Linked DNA regions of Tamandua tetradactyla. The protein of the gene in region 1 purifies or fractionates together with the protein of each later gene. This does not show direct contact. Links are inferred from orthologs where the notes say so. Each region holds a gene or a part of one and is shown in the gene's direction. Other genes may lie near its edges.

Region 1 (7,421 bases):
GGGTGCAGCCTTGGGTAGCAGAGTCGGTGGGGAGCAAAGAGAGGAGAGCATTTCCAGCTGGGAAAACAGAGGCAACCGAATACCATTTGGCACATGATATACTTAGTGGAGGGCAGGGCAAAGAAAGAGTAGGCAGAAAGGCTAGTTGGAGTTGGAAGGTAAAAGGGTCTGAGCACCCCCAACCTACAGAATTTGGACTAAAACTTAGGACATAAAATAAGTGTGTTAACTAAACGGCATTTCCATGTAATACTGTGAGAGCATAGAAGCAAATTCTTTTGTTAAGTATATTAAAAACATATAATAATGTCCTCATGGTTTTACTTTTGAGAGTTCACCTTTTGGGAATATAGAATTTCCAGAATCCTGCAGGTGGTGGGAGGGTTAGGTTTCTTAAGAACAGGATGTGTCTGGTTCCTTTCCTTCTTCAAGCCTCTGCTGCAAAGTCCAGAGAGCTATCAAAACTGGGCGTCTCTTCCCCACAGCTTGCTGGAGACAGATTCTGGGACACATCATGTACCCAACCACAGGACTTGTAGGGTATTCTCAGGTCTACACAGCCTTTCACATCCACTCTCTTGAGTTTTCTCAGACCATATTCTTTTCCTTTGTTTCTTCTCTTGTTCATTTTGTGTTTACTTTACCTCCAAGCCCCATGAAGGCAGAAGCCTTGTTAATCTCTGTTCTAGTTTGCTAGCTGCTGAAATGCAATATACAGAAATGGAGCAGCTTTTAAAAAGGGGAGTTTAATAAGTTGCAAGTTTACAGTTCTCAGGTCATGAAAATGTCTCAATTAAAGCAAGTCTATAAAAATGTCCAAATTAAGGCACTAACAAGAGGTTACCTTCACTCAAGAAAGGCCAACGAAGTTCAAGGTTTCTCTCAACTGGAAAGGCACATGGCGAACATGGTGTTAGCTTCTTCTCCAGGCCTCTTGCTCCATGAAGCTCCCTGGGAGCATTCTCCTTCTTCGTCTCCGAAGGTCGCTGGCTGTTGTACTCTCTGCTTCCCATGGTTTTGTCGTCGTGGTCAGTCTGGTGGCTCTCTCAGATCTCAAACCTTTTCCAAAAATGCTTCTTTTAAAGGATTCCATAAAGTAATCAAGACCCACCTGGAATGCGTGTAGACACGTCTTCATCTAATCACGTTTAAGACCCAGAATTGATTGAGTCACGTGTCCCTGGAGATAACCTAATCAAGTTTTCAACCTATAGTGCTGGATAGGGATTAGAAGAAGTAGCTGTTTTTACCAAATGGGATTAGGATTAAAACATTGTACCCTAGGCTTTTCTAGGGTACAAAAATCCTTTAAAACTGGCACAGTCTTTCTTTTCAAAAAAATTTTAAATAATTTCAGATTTACAGAAAAGTTACAGACATTCAAAGAATACTTGTTCACCCAGATTGTTACTATTTTACATTTGCCATTTGCTACTATCTTACATTTGCCATTTGCTTTATCAGTTTCTCTTTATGTATGTCCTTTTCTTTTTCTGAAGCATCTGAAGTTGTAAATTGCTGATAGTGTCCCTTTATCTCTAAAAACAAATACAGTCTCTTATTCAACTGTGGTACATAGTCACAGTATCATTATATAAATCAGTAAATTAACATAAATTAACATTGGTACAATGTTCTTAGTTAATCTGCAGACCTCATTCATTTTTTGGCAATTGTTCCCTAATATCCTTTATAGCAAGGAGAAGAAGGAGGAGGTGGGATACCAAAGTGGGGGGCAGGGAGAGAAGTGGGAAGAGGAGGAGATGGGGAACAAGGAGGGAAGGAAGGAAGGAGGGAGAAACTACTTCTATTTTCTGGTCCAGAATCCAATCCCAAATCACTCATTGCAGTTAGTCATCATGTCTCTTTAGTCTCCTTTAATGTAGAACAGTTCCACATTCTTTGTCTTTCATGACCTTGACATTTTGAAGAGTACAAGCTGCTCATTTTGTAGAATGTGTCTTAGTTTGGGTTTGTCTGATTTATCTTTATTTGTAATTTATTACTTTTTATTAATACACACTCCATATCTACCAAACATACATGTCTGATGTTTCTTCATAAGATTGAGATCTACTAACATATTCCAAAATTTCAGAAATATGGTTTTTTCCTGGACAATCGAAATATTCCAGGTCTGTGATTGATATCAATCAAAAGCAGGGGGTTCTCTGCCCAATACACATTAATAGCCAACCTGTGACACCGGGGTTTCAAAGAGAGAATTTTTTGCTAAGTGTGAAGCAGATCAGATGGCCCATCACCCTAAAAATCTGTCTTTCCAAACCACAGTAACACTGACGAATTTTTTTTTTTTTTTAACATGGGAAGGCACTGGGAATCGAACCCAGGTCTCTGGCATGGCAGGCAAGAACTCTGCCAGTAAGCCACTGTGGCCCACCCTCTGACAGCTTTATAATATCAAAAGATGGGCAGGTTTTAGGATAATGAGCAAAATGGTTCTAAATGCTGTAATTGGAGATGATCTAGATTATATGCTTAGAATTTATGTAAGAAAATGGTGGCCTTAATGCTATGATGGGCGTGATTTTCAGCATTGTAATGAGGGATAGTTTATTTATAGTTAAAATTTAAGCTGCTTAAATTTAAATTCTTAAATTCTAAGAATTTAAGCTTAAATTCTTAGAATTTAAGAATTCGTTCAGGCAGACGAATTCTGGTTAGATCCAGCTTCATCGAGCAAGATTGTTTAGGAATTGGGATGGGTTAGTGCTGGGGTGATTCAAGTTTCTTCATTAATAAACGTGAGGGGCTGTCTTCTGTGATCATAATATTCTAAAGTTTAAAAACAGAATTAGGGGTACAAATGTGGGTCAGTCATGAGGTTTTTACAATCACAAGATAAAGGCTACATTGTAATACAATCATTATCAAAGATCAAGGCAGTTGGGTTATAGTTGGGTAATTTTAGGCATTTCCTTCTGGCTATTCCAATATACTAGAAAGTAAAAAAGAAATGTCTATATAATGATTCATTAACCTTAATTATGTTAAATCTTAACTTCTTGGTCATATGATCTCTTCTTTTGATGTGAAAATGAGAAATTTGTAACAATTTAGCGGAGACCCACGGTTTAGAGAAATCACTTCATCAGATTTTCATGCTTGTGAAAAGTTACGAAGTCCTGCGTCCTCCTGAATGCATCGTATCTGGAGGCACGGACAGTATGTTTGTGTTGTTAATATTGATTGCTTTAAGATTTCTCCACTGTAAATTTATTATTTTTCCCCTGTGTAATTAATAAATATTTTGTGGAGGAGATATTTGGAGACCATGTCAATAGGATTGCAAGATAATATAGAGGCTGCGCAGGGGAATTTCAATTTCATAGCAACACTGAATACTTTTTTAGTGTAAGTATGACCATCCAGAATTACTTATCAGAAATTCAAACTTAACAGGGCTTCTTGTATTTTTATATTTTAAATCTGGCAACTGGATAGTAAATATCTTGTTCCTTAGCAAACTTGCACCCAGTTGATTTGAAATCCATGAATAATTTTTGCCTAAATCAATTTTTACTATGATTTTGCCAAACGGTGATTTTCTACCTCCGTCATTCTTTCTACATTTATTGGTTGATTTTCTAACTGCCTGTCTTTTCACCACCCTTTACCGCTAGTGACTGACACACGGTAGGCGCTCAGATGCTTGCTCAATGAATGAACGCCTTCTCCGGCATTTGGCACAACTTCCGCGACCCCAGCTGCGTCAGGCAGGGGCTTGCCTTCCTCAGCCAATCACGACGGGCACTGAGGCTTCCAAGCCTTGCTGGGCCCAGTTCCAGGTGCTCCAAGAGATCATAAACCTGGCTTTACTATACGTCGCTGACGTATAATGAAGACAAATGATTGGCTACTTCAGCTCCAGGAGTCTCGACAGACTGCAAGGGGAGTGGGGCACCGACCAATGGGTGTCGGCGGGAGGCGGGACCTGCCATGCGGCCGCGGTATAACTGTGTGGCCCGCGCTTGTATTTCTCTCCTGGCGCGCGCAGCGGCACGGGCTATGGCTCCCCTGCGTCTTGTGTCAACACTGGCAGCCGGGCTGCTCCGGCCCGCGCAGAGCTGCCGCCTCCGCCATCGCCCTTTCTGTCGCTCGGCTGTTCGGTAAGAGGGTCGAGGAGCTGGGTCGGCGCGGGAAGCCCAGGGGTAACGGAAGGCAGGCGGCTGCGCGGACCCGCGAGGATGCAGGGGCGGTTCCTCCCGAGCATCCCAGCCCTGGGTGGCGGTGGCATTTCCCTCTGACTAGAGGGGCGACGTGGCAGCCGGGCGCAGCCGCAGCCCGCGCGGCTCGGGCGCTCGCGCGGCGGGGTGGGCTGGTCCCTGGCCCCCCCCCCCCCCCCCAGGGTCGGGGCATCGCCGGCGAGACAGCCGGACCGTGCGGAGTTCGCAAGGGGACGCGCGAGGATGCCCAGGTTTGGCCCGAGTTTGCGGGCCGCCAGCGGCCGCGATGCCGAGAGGGGCCTTGGGGGACGCCAAGCAGACCCTTGGCCCAGGGCGTGGAGGGCTCCTTATGACCCGCTTTCCCGGGACCCTAGCGGCGGAGGGGATTGGTGCAGGCTGACGAAATCCCCGCGCCGGCTTGCTGGCTGGGTACCCGCACTTCCCTTCTGCCTCGGGAAAGAAGACATGTATTGTCGTCACCGGGACTCTGACTGCAGTCGCCACGCCGAGCTGGGCAGCGCCCAGCGTAAGTCCAGGTGATACCCTCGGGGGAGAAGGCGAGGCGAGGCGAAGCTCTGTCTGCATTTCCGTGGGCAGGCAATAGGTTTTCCCTGATTTTTTTGGACCCCAAACTGTCATTCTTGAGCCTAGGTTGAAGACTCCTTTTGGGGCTCTGTGATTTCTCTCCCCAAATCTGTGCACACTCTGTCAACGTTTAGAGCCCTCGCATTGCCAGAGTCCTAAGTCTTAGTCTTGTTATCAGCAAACGTTCACTAAGCCCTTCCTCCGTGCCGGGCGCCGTGGTAGACTGTGAATTCAGAGATGGGTCAAAGCTGCTTTCTCTTTAGTGGAACGCAGATATCTGTCAAGGGGGCGAACACGGATATAACTTCCACTCAGTGTGAAAAGTGCTGACAGAGATTTCCAAGATGCTATTGGAACGCAGAAGGAGGGTTGATACATTCTTAAGGAAGACTGGAGAGGCATTCACGTTTTCCTTGGACCCACCCTGACCTGCCTTTCCAGTCCCTTCTTTCATTACTGCCCCTTGGTTCTAGCCCCTTCATGCGCAGTGGCCAGATGAGCCTTTGGGCCAGACTGCTCTTAGGCTTTCATGGAAGATACGAGGTTTATGGAGAGCCTTCTTGTGTAAAGGACACCATCCTGTTTGCTCACATTCCCAAATAACAGATGCTCTCCTTTTGCTTACTTTTCTGAATGAAAAAGTAAGCTTCTACATCTCTCAAGGCAAAACTGTTATCTGCACTGCTATCTACATTCTATATTGTTAGGATGTGCTGCTTTGATTACTGCTGTTTACATGAATGTGACACTGATAACTTAAAGCAAAATATGAGTCTGCCTGTATTCCCTTTATTTTAGGTTGGTGCAAAGGTTTTTTAAAAAAAGTTATCTGATTTATTTAGCATGCTAACCATTTATCCTGGTGATAAATTAATACATAGTTGTAAAAAAGTGTTGGGTGCTTTTCAAAGAAAATGTTTCTTTCTGGGGGTATACACTAAAGTGGAAGTAGAATCATTTAGACAGCTGTCTTTATAATTTTCAAATTCAAGTGTGGTAACATCAAGTTTTTGAAGAATAGTCTTTTTCTCTGTTGATTTAATATGTCAGGTGACATTTTAGTTTGTGCATTGCTACCAAATCTGACATTACAGAACTGACAGTTCAGTAATCATCTGATCCAATCTCCTGATTGTACAGAGAAGGGATCCCTTGGCATTGTCAGAGTTTACAAAACCTGTAAGAGGCAGAGGCGAGAAAGGTCTAGAAATGTCTGTTGGGCTAAATAAGGCACATATATCACATGGAACTCTAAGGCATATTTTAAATGATCCTGGTTTTACTTTCGGTTTAACATTAGATTGAATCCTGATGGTTCTTTTGTAGTTCACAAACATGTTTAGTAACTCAGTTGCTTTGGAGACAAAATTCTGACTGTTGCAATTTATCACCCATCACTGTTTGCCAGTGCTGTTAAGCTTCTTTTCTCCTGGGATGTTCAAACTTTGGCAACTTTTCTTCCCGTTCTTTTGTGCTCATAATAGACCTATGTCAAAGGTATCTGTTTTTGTTTGAAATTCAACATCAGCAGAGGGAGCTAAGATGGTATCAATATCTACAAAACCATCTTGAGTTTGGGGCAGCTAATGGCGGTCAGTTATCATATAGCCTGCCCCGTTCATTAGAACAGTCACTGGTTCCACGACCAGCTTTTGTAAAGCAGTTGTGTGTTACTTCAGGGGTGTCAGTCTCCGCGTGGCAATGAGATTTCTCAGCACATCAAGAATATATCATGCAATGCTTTACATGATGTACCATGGTGATTTATTATGTCTCAGCCTAAGGGCAGTGCAAGGGTTTTTCATATTGTAAGTTTCAAGAACATAAACCTATTGCCTAGGAGACTGTGGCCTATCGGGAAAAATGAACTTTGGAGGCAGAGGTTTGAGTTTGAATTTTGTTCTACCATCCTCTGTTATTATAATAGCTCTAGGAGGGTGGTGAGAATAATTTATGTAGAAAACTCTTAGCAAAATACCTAGTGTTTGATAGATGTGAGTTCCATCCCCCTTTGCATCTTTCTTCGCTTATTACTGGTTCCAGCAACTAGAAGATAACAGCGCTCTTCCCCAAATAACTTGATCATGAATTGTAAAATGCTTCTATTAATTTCTCATGGAAAATTACAATACTGTCAGCTATTAAACTGGGAGGAAAGTGAAGAGGCTACTGACTGGGATTTTGATTCTGAACTTTATTTGAACATTCCTCTTCTTTCTGGTCTGTTGACTCATTTTAATGGAAAATTTTCTAAGCACATCTCTGAAACCACCTAATTCCTAAATAAATGTTAGCTGACGTAGTTATAATTTTTAGATTCCCTTTGGGAATGAACCAAGTCTCCATGTCCCTGTTTACTTTGCAGTAGCAGTTACTTTATCTACCTCTTGGCAAAAGAGATGAGGGAAAGTTAGGTACTGACTCACTCTCATCATTTTGCAGAGGAGGGTGGAAATGCAGCCATCATGAAGAGTATTATTTGTATTATGGCTTTGTTTTTTGACTTTTGTTACTTTTGGGCAGTTTCTCTCTCTTTTTTTTTTTTTTTTTAAAGAAAATTGGCATAACATCTAGAACCTGCCTTTGGAAGCTCAGATTGGGACTTGGAACACCATGTTCTTTTAGAACCCTCTGTCCTTAACTCTACCA
Region 2 (6,937 bases), on another chromosome or scaffold:
CTCCATTCCGGTCCCTCCACTCACAGCGCCCCCACTGCTGGGCCTATCCCCAGGCACCCCTTCCCTGGGGCTGGGACCTCCCCATCAGGCTCGCACGTCCCTGGGGCAGGCACAGGGTCCCCAGGGCCTGGAGCCCCCACCACCCCTGCATGCAGGACCCTCGGGGGCAGGTGCTGGGTGGGAGGGGACTGCCTGCCAGCTCGGGACCTCCACAGGGCCCAGTGGGGACACTGGGTGGCTGGGGGTGCGGGCGGGTGAGGGGGTGGCCTGGGAGCTATGGGGGGGCAGCCGGGCTTGTGGGGGACAGGGATTGGCAGGTGAGGGGAAAGGCAGCCTGGGGGTGCACATTCGGCGGTCCTGGGCAGTGCGGGGTGGCACTGAGAAAGGCCTGTGGCCCTGCCCCATATCGGTCAGGTGGGGCCCTGTCCGCCCTGCCTCCGGGGGCTGCAGGGTCTGAGGTTTCCACCTGCCCACCAGGCCGCTTGGGGCCCCTAGCACCCTACCCCACATCCAGCAGAGCCCCACCTGCCTGTCCCACGTCACAGGGCCTGTGAGGCAGTGGAGGGGCTCCTTCCCGAGACACCCACTCTGCGCTCAGCCACCCCTAGCCCTGCTGGACACCCCGCCCGCGGCCGCTTCAGCCGTCCGTGCCCTGCGCTGTGCAGAGGGTCCCCAGGCTCCACCCTCCTGCGGCCCCAGGCCCCGGCACTCACCAGCCGGGTGGGGGACAGGCCTTCCTCCAGCAACGGCCCATTGCGGCCGTCTGCGCCCTCGCTGGGTGGGCAGGGGTTCTGCGGGCCCGGCCAGCTCAGCTCCCACACGCGGATGCTGGGCGTGCGGGGCCGAGGCCCCCCGGCTGTGTCCCAGGCGGGCTCCATTCACATCCCACCTGGCGGGAGGAGCAGAGCGCAAGCTGGGCACGCCGGGGTCCGCAGCCCACCTCCCACCGGCCCCTGGGCTGTTCCCCAGCCCTGTGCCCGATGGTGGGACCGGCCGCCCAGCACACGCAGCATCAGGGTCCCCTCCCACCCTGGGGACCCGACTGATGCAACAACTGCAGCCTCAGCCAACCCAGCTCATACCCTGTCCCCGCCAAGGCTGCCCCAGGCGATCGGCCTCCCGGAACGCTCCAGCCTCTCTGGCTCTGGGGTCTCACACACACACACACACACACACACACACACACACACACACACACACACACACACACACACACACACACACACACACACACACACACACACACGGCCCAAGCAAGGGGCTTCGCTCCACAGCTCTCTCCCCCATCTAAGCCTGGGGAGCTGCAAGGATGGGGGCTGTGAGGCTGTGACCTTGGGGTACTGCGAGGCTAGAGAACTGTGATCTTGGGGGCGGGGGAGGCTGGGGGACTGTGACTCTGGGGAGCTGTGACCTTGGGGTGCTGTGAGACTGGGGGCTGCTTCTGGGGGTCTGTGAGCCTGTGGGGGCGGGTTCCACGGCTGCCCACGACTAGCAATTGAGCACCTAAACAGGCTCCACCCGATGGTCCTGAACCCTAGGCCCAGGAGCAGAGCCCCAGGCACTGCCACCATCCCCCTTGGCACCCCAGCGCTGCCCTGTGCAGTGGAGATCTGTACCTGCGGGCAGCTGCCTTCTCCTGCATGAGTCAGACATCCAGCCGGGGGGCCTCAGGCAGCACCTGCAGGAGAGAGAAGCTGCGACCCAGGCCCAAGGGGTGCCCCCGCCTCCTGCCCGCGGGTGTGAGGGTCGCTGCCGACCCGTGGCCCTCCTCACCCCGCTGGGGCTAAGAGGAGAAGGAGCCAGGCAGGCCCATGGAGCAAGTCACTGCTGCACGGGCTCTCTGGGCCCCCAGGTGAATCCCCACCCCTCTCCCAAGCCCCTTTCCTCCACACCCTGCTGGGACCCGCTGGCCTGGGGTCTGCCCGCTCCGAGCCCTCCCCACCCTTCGGGGCCTGCGCCCGGGTCTCAGCCTGTGGGGTGTGGCCTGCTCCCCGCACCCACGCGCGGCCCCGCATCAAGCAGGCGCGCCTGAGGGGGCGCGTGAACAGCCGGTGAATGGGAGAACGCAAGGGGCCGCGCCCTCGGGCCTGGGGTCCGGGTGGTCCTCACCGGCAGCCCCTCCCCGGACGCGGGCTGAGCAGCCAAGACCCCCGGCCGCGGCCCTGCGTCGGGGGGCGGGGCGCAGGGGGCGCCGGCGGCCTGGAAGTTTCTGTAGCGCCCCCCCCCCCCCCCCCCCGCCCAGCAGGTGCTCAACAAACATCTGCTAAATAAAGGAACGAATTGCCCTTTTTGATGGGTGTTGCAAAATACATCTATTTCGCCATCGTCGAACGCTCAAAAGACAAATCTTATAACTACATCTTTGCAACTGAGATTTCTTCAAAAATTTCCTGAAAGTCAGGTACAAAGAGCTGAACTGTGTGCTGAAAGGGCGACGTCTGGGTGCCGGTGACTGCGCCCTGGAAAGCAGGGGGCTTCCCGCCCCCGCAAAGGCCCTGCAGACCCCGCCCGACCCTCCCACCCCACCCGGGGCGCCAACCCCAGACCCCCTTCCAGCACCTCCTCATTGCCCCTCAGTCCCCACACGAGGCCCCTGTCCAAGAGACCATGTGGCCAGGGCCAGTTTTGGGGGTGCAGGCTCCGCGAGTGGGTGGGGGCATCCACGTGGTTTAGCCCCTGCATTATCCATTCGCTCTGGGCCCCTTCACCGCCCGTCCCGCCTCCCGCCCTCTCCTGATGACCCGGGGCCGCTGTCCCCACCCGGCCTGGCCCCTCCTGCGTGGTGCTTCCCCCAGCGCTGAGCTCCCACGGCCTTACCCAGCCACCGGCTGAGGACCCCGCCTCCCAAGGCCCTGGGCCTCCTCCCCTCTCGTCAGCGCGGATGCCCGGGCCATGGCGGCACAAAGAGCGTGAGTGAGGTGTACGAGCTGGGACTTGGGGTGCAACAGGGAGGTCTGGTAGAACAGCAACCTGGCTCTGCTCTGCGGGCCAGTGCATAGCTGCCGCTGCCACCGAAGTTCCTGTGGGTGGCCGGGTCCGGGAGCAGGGGGCAGCGGGCAGGAGGTGCACACAGCGAGGGACCAACAGCAGGGCGGCAGAATGGGACCAGACCCCACACGCTCAGCGGACCCTCCGTGGCGGGCTTGGCCCAGCACGCAGCTGGGAGGGCGGGAGGGCGGAGGCGCGGCGCAGTCCCGGCTGGCCGCCTTGGTTGGAGGCAATTCTGGTGATCCGCAAGCAGAGTGACCAGATCTCTCACTACTCCCGGGCTCCCAGTGTGACCCCCTCCCTGGCATCCCCTTGGGATGGTGCTGCCCACCTAACCCGCCCCCCCACCCCGACGCCAGCCCAGGGTGATGGGAAGGGCACGGGCCAGGGTGCTATGCTTCCGCGGGCGCCTCTGGCCGGAAGAGGCCGAGCGCCGCCCAATGTGCCCCCGTCCCGCCCTGGTCTCTCTCATGTGCGCCCCCCATGGAGACCCCCAGAACAGAATCTGGGCCCCAGCCTTTGTCTCTCCCTCTCAGGGAAGACCTGACCGCCCCCCCCCACCGTGACCCTAGGGACTAATGCCGGCCCCACCAGGACACTGCGTCCTACTCGCGCCCCTCGGCGTCGCGCAGGGGCGAGGCCTGAGGTCCGGTCCGAGGGCGCCCTCGGCTCTCACCTGGGGATGCCCCCACCGCGGGGCTTTCGGGGAGTCGGGCTGTTCTTCCGCCCGGGGGTTGCGGGCCCGGGCTCCATGGCAACGGGGGCGGGGCCACACGCCACCAAGCCTAAGCCGCGGGGATCCCCCGCCGCGGAGCCCGCGGCTGAGCCACGCCCCCAGGAGCGGTTGCTAGGGCCCGCCGGGCCGGGGCAGTGGTCGCGACCCTGCGCGGCCCGGTACACGCGTGGGAGCCCTCCCCCAGGCTCTGTGCCCCGCGCGCCCGCGGGGGAGCGGGGTGGGAAGGGAGTCGCCATCGGTTGGAGGGGAACCGGGAGGCTCGCGCGCCCCTCTCTCCCAGGTGGGCAGGTCGCCCGAGATCCCCCGGGATTTACCTTCCGCCGCGCAGTGCGAGCAACGCGACGAGAGGGGGCGCGGCGGGGAAAGGACCCTCCTATCCGAGAGAAACCCAGACCGCACCCCGGAGCGCCCATGCGCCCCCGCGTACACCGGCGCTCCCCCGAAACTGGCTCCACGCCCCGCAGCGCGGGTGGGTAGGGCCAAGGTCGCGACGCGGGGGACGCGGCCGTGCGCGGGAGGGGCCAGGCCGGGGTGGAGAGAGTGGCCCGCGGTGTGCGCCCTGGGGCCTCGGCCGAGACGTCAGCGGCTCCTGTGCGCTGGGAGGGCGGCGGGACGGGAAGCCCCTCCGCAGTCCTTCCCCTTTTTTGCTGAAAGAAGTAGGGTGTATTCGTGCAGGACCCCAACGTTTTAGAATACGTTTAAAGTTTCTATTTGAATCGTAAAAAAGAACGCGCGCTTGCGCTTGCGGGAATCTTGTCCGTTCGCCCCCCGGGGCAGCTGTTCGGGTTGGACGTGCCCAGGCGCCGGAATCGGGTGTGCCGTGAGCCCCGCGGGCCGCAGAGGCGCAGCCGGGGGTGCGGGGAGCTGCGTGGGCGGAGGCGTCGGCAGGGCCGGGCTGGGGCTGGGGGCAGCGGGAGACAGGAAAGTGCGAAGCAAGGGCCAGCGTAGGCAAGAGCGCGCGCCGAGACTCGTCCCCCGACCCCGGGCACGGCTGCGGGGCGGGGCCGCCTGGACCGCAGAGACTCGTCCTTCCGCCGCCCTCGCTCTCCCGCGCCCGCGGAGTCCGGCTCCCTAACCCTCCACGACCCCGAGACCCCGCTACGAGTGCGACCCACGCCCACGCCCACGCCCACGCCCACGAACACCACTGGAGCTCGGCCCCGCCCTCCGCGCCGCTCCAGGAAGTCCCGCCCAGCCGCGGTTTGACCGACGGGCCGTTCAGCCAACCGAAGCGCGGTCAGGGCGGAGGCGGCCTTGGGGCGGGGCAGGGACGTGCGGACCAATGGTAGGCCGCGTCTAGTGGACGGACCGACGCGGGGCGGGATCTTGCCGGGCGAGCCAGTAGTGGGCCGCTGCGGGATGACGGACGGACGCAGGGCGGGGCGTTCGTGTGCCCGGCCGAGTCGACGCCGACGCCGTCCGCGCCTCCCGCAGCCGGAGCCGCACCCGCCGCGGAGGGATCCCATGCGCGGGGCGCGTCGCGTTCCCGCCCCGGCCCCAGCCTCCGCCCCGGCCCCGGGGGCAGACGCGTCAGTGGGCGGTGAGTGGCAGGCGAGGGCCAGGGGGCCGCGGCGCGCGGTGGCGTGGGCCTGGCGCCCCTCCCCCTCCGAGGCGCAGGCGCTTCCCCCGAGCAGCGGGCGGGGGCGGCGGGGAGTGCGGCGGGAGCCGCGCCCCACCTCGCCGAGGGCGGGAGGCCAACTTGCTAGTTCTCGGTCTGGGAGGCTGCGGCGGTGGGTGGGGGTACAGGTGAGCCTCGGGGTTCAGGAAGGGGTGCAGGGGAACCTCGGGATTCGAGTGGGAGTAGATGGGTGCCTCGGGGTTAGGGTGAAGGCTGCGGGGGAGCCTTGGGGTTCGAGTGGGGGCTGCAGGGGAGCCTCGTAGTTCGAGAGGGGATGCAGGGGAGCCTCGGGATTTGGGGGGTTGCAGGGGAAATCGGAGTTCGGTTAGGGATACAAGTGAGCCTCGAGTTCGGGTGGGGGTGCAGGTGAGTGTCGGGGTTTGGGTGGGGGTGCAAGGGAGCCTTGGGGTTCGGGTGGGGTTCAGGTGATCCTCGGGATTCTGGTGGGGGTTTAGGTGAGCCTCCGGGTTCTACTAGGTGTACAGGTGAGCCTCGGGCTTCACGTGGCGATGCAGGGTAGCCTCGGGGTTCGCTTGGCTGTGGAAGGGAGCCTCGGGGTTTGGGTGGGGGTACAGGGGAGCCTCGGGGTTTGGGTGGGGTTCAGGTGAGTCTCGGGGTTCATATGGGGGTACAGGGGAGCGTCGGAGTTCGGGTGGGGTTCAGGTGAGTCTCGGGGTTCAGGTGGGGGTACAAGGGAACCTCGGGGTTTGGGTGGAGGTACAGGGGAGCCTCGGGGTTCGGATGGGGTTCAGGTGAGCCTCCGGGTTTGGATGGGATACAGGTGAGCCTCGAGGTTCGGGTGGGGTGCAGGGGAGCTTCAGGGTTTGGGTGGGGGTGCAACAGAGCCTCAGGGTTCGGGTAGGGGTTCAGTTGAGCCTTGGGATTCGGGTGGGGGTTTAGGTGAGCCTCCGGGTTCTGGTGGGTGTTCAGGTGACTGAAGCTCAGGCTTCAGGTGGTGGTGCAGGGCAGCCTCAGAGTTCGCTTGGGGGTGAAAGGGATCGTTGGGTTGGGGTGCAAGGGAGCCTCCACGTTCAAGTAGGGGTGCAGAGGAGCCTCAGGGTTTGGGTGGGGGTGCATGTGAACCTCCGGGTTTGGGTGGGGTACAGGGGAGCCTCAGAGTTCAGGTGGGGGTACAAGGGAACCTCAGGGTCAGATAGGGGTGCAAGGGAGCCTCGGGGTTCAGGTGGGGGTCCATGGGAGACTTGGCCATCGGGTGGACGTGCAGGTGAGCGTTGGGGGTTGAGTGGGGGTGCAGGGGAGCCTCAAAGTTCGGGTAGGGGTTCAGGTGAGCCTCAGGGTCTTGGTGGGGGGATTAGGTGAGCCTCTCCGTTCTGGTGGGGGTACAGGTGAGCTTCGGGTTTCGGGTGGGGGTGCAGGGGAGCCTCGGGGTTCGGGTAGGGGTGCAGGGGAGCCTTGGGGTTTGGGTGGGGGTGGAGAGGAGGCTCAGGGTTTGAGTGGGGGTGCTAAGGAGCCTCAGGGTTCAAGTGATGGTACAGGCTGACACGTGTGTGCCATTGGGGGTATATGTGGGGTTCAAGGCAGTGCCTCAGTTCTGACTGTTCCCTTACTCTTGAGGGGTTTCTTAAGTACTCTCC

The links.
Region 2: the proteins of MTHFD2 (region 1) and HRAS purify together in Homo sapiens (co-immunoprecipitation; 4 studies listed by BioGRID and IntAct, with this or other methods). This does not show direct contact. The link is inferred for Tamandua tetradactyla from reciprocal best matches to the Homo sapiens genes MTHFD2 and HRAS.

What each region holds. Positions count from the first base shown.
Region 1 is NC_135343.1:48,071,793-48,079,213, forward strand, and holds the start of MTHFD2 (bifunctional methylenetetrahydrofolate dehydrogenase/cyclohydrolase, mitochondrial), read left to right. Parts: upstream 1-4,407; 5' UTR 4,408-4,430; coding exon 4,431-4,723; intron 4,724-7,421. UniProt on the Homo sapiens protein: Although its dehydrogenase activity is NAD-specific, it can also utilize NADP at a reduced efficiency.
Region 2 is NC_135335.1:395,755-402,691, reverse strand, and holds the start of HRAS (GTPase HRas), read left to right. Parts: upstream 1-3,924; 5' UTR 3,925-4,004; intron 4,005-5,167; exon of another isoform or gene 5,168-5,264; intron 5,265-5,398; exon of another isoform or gene 5,399-5,470; intron 5,471-5,620; exon of another isoform or gene 5,621-5,708; intron 5,709-6,816; exon of another isoform or gene 6,817-6,937. Other genes in the region: LRRC56 (leucine-rich repeat-containing protein 56), read right to left, coding at 714-878. UniProt on the Homo sapiens protein: Involved in the activation of Ras protein signal transduction. Ras proteins bind GDP/GTP and possess intrinsic GTPase activity.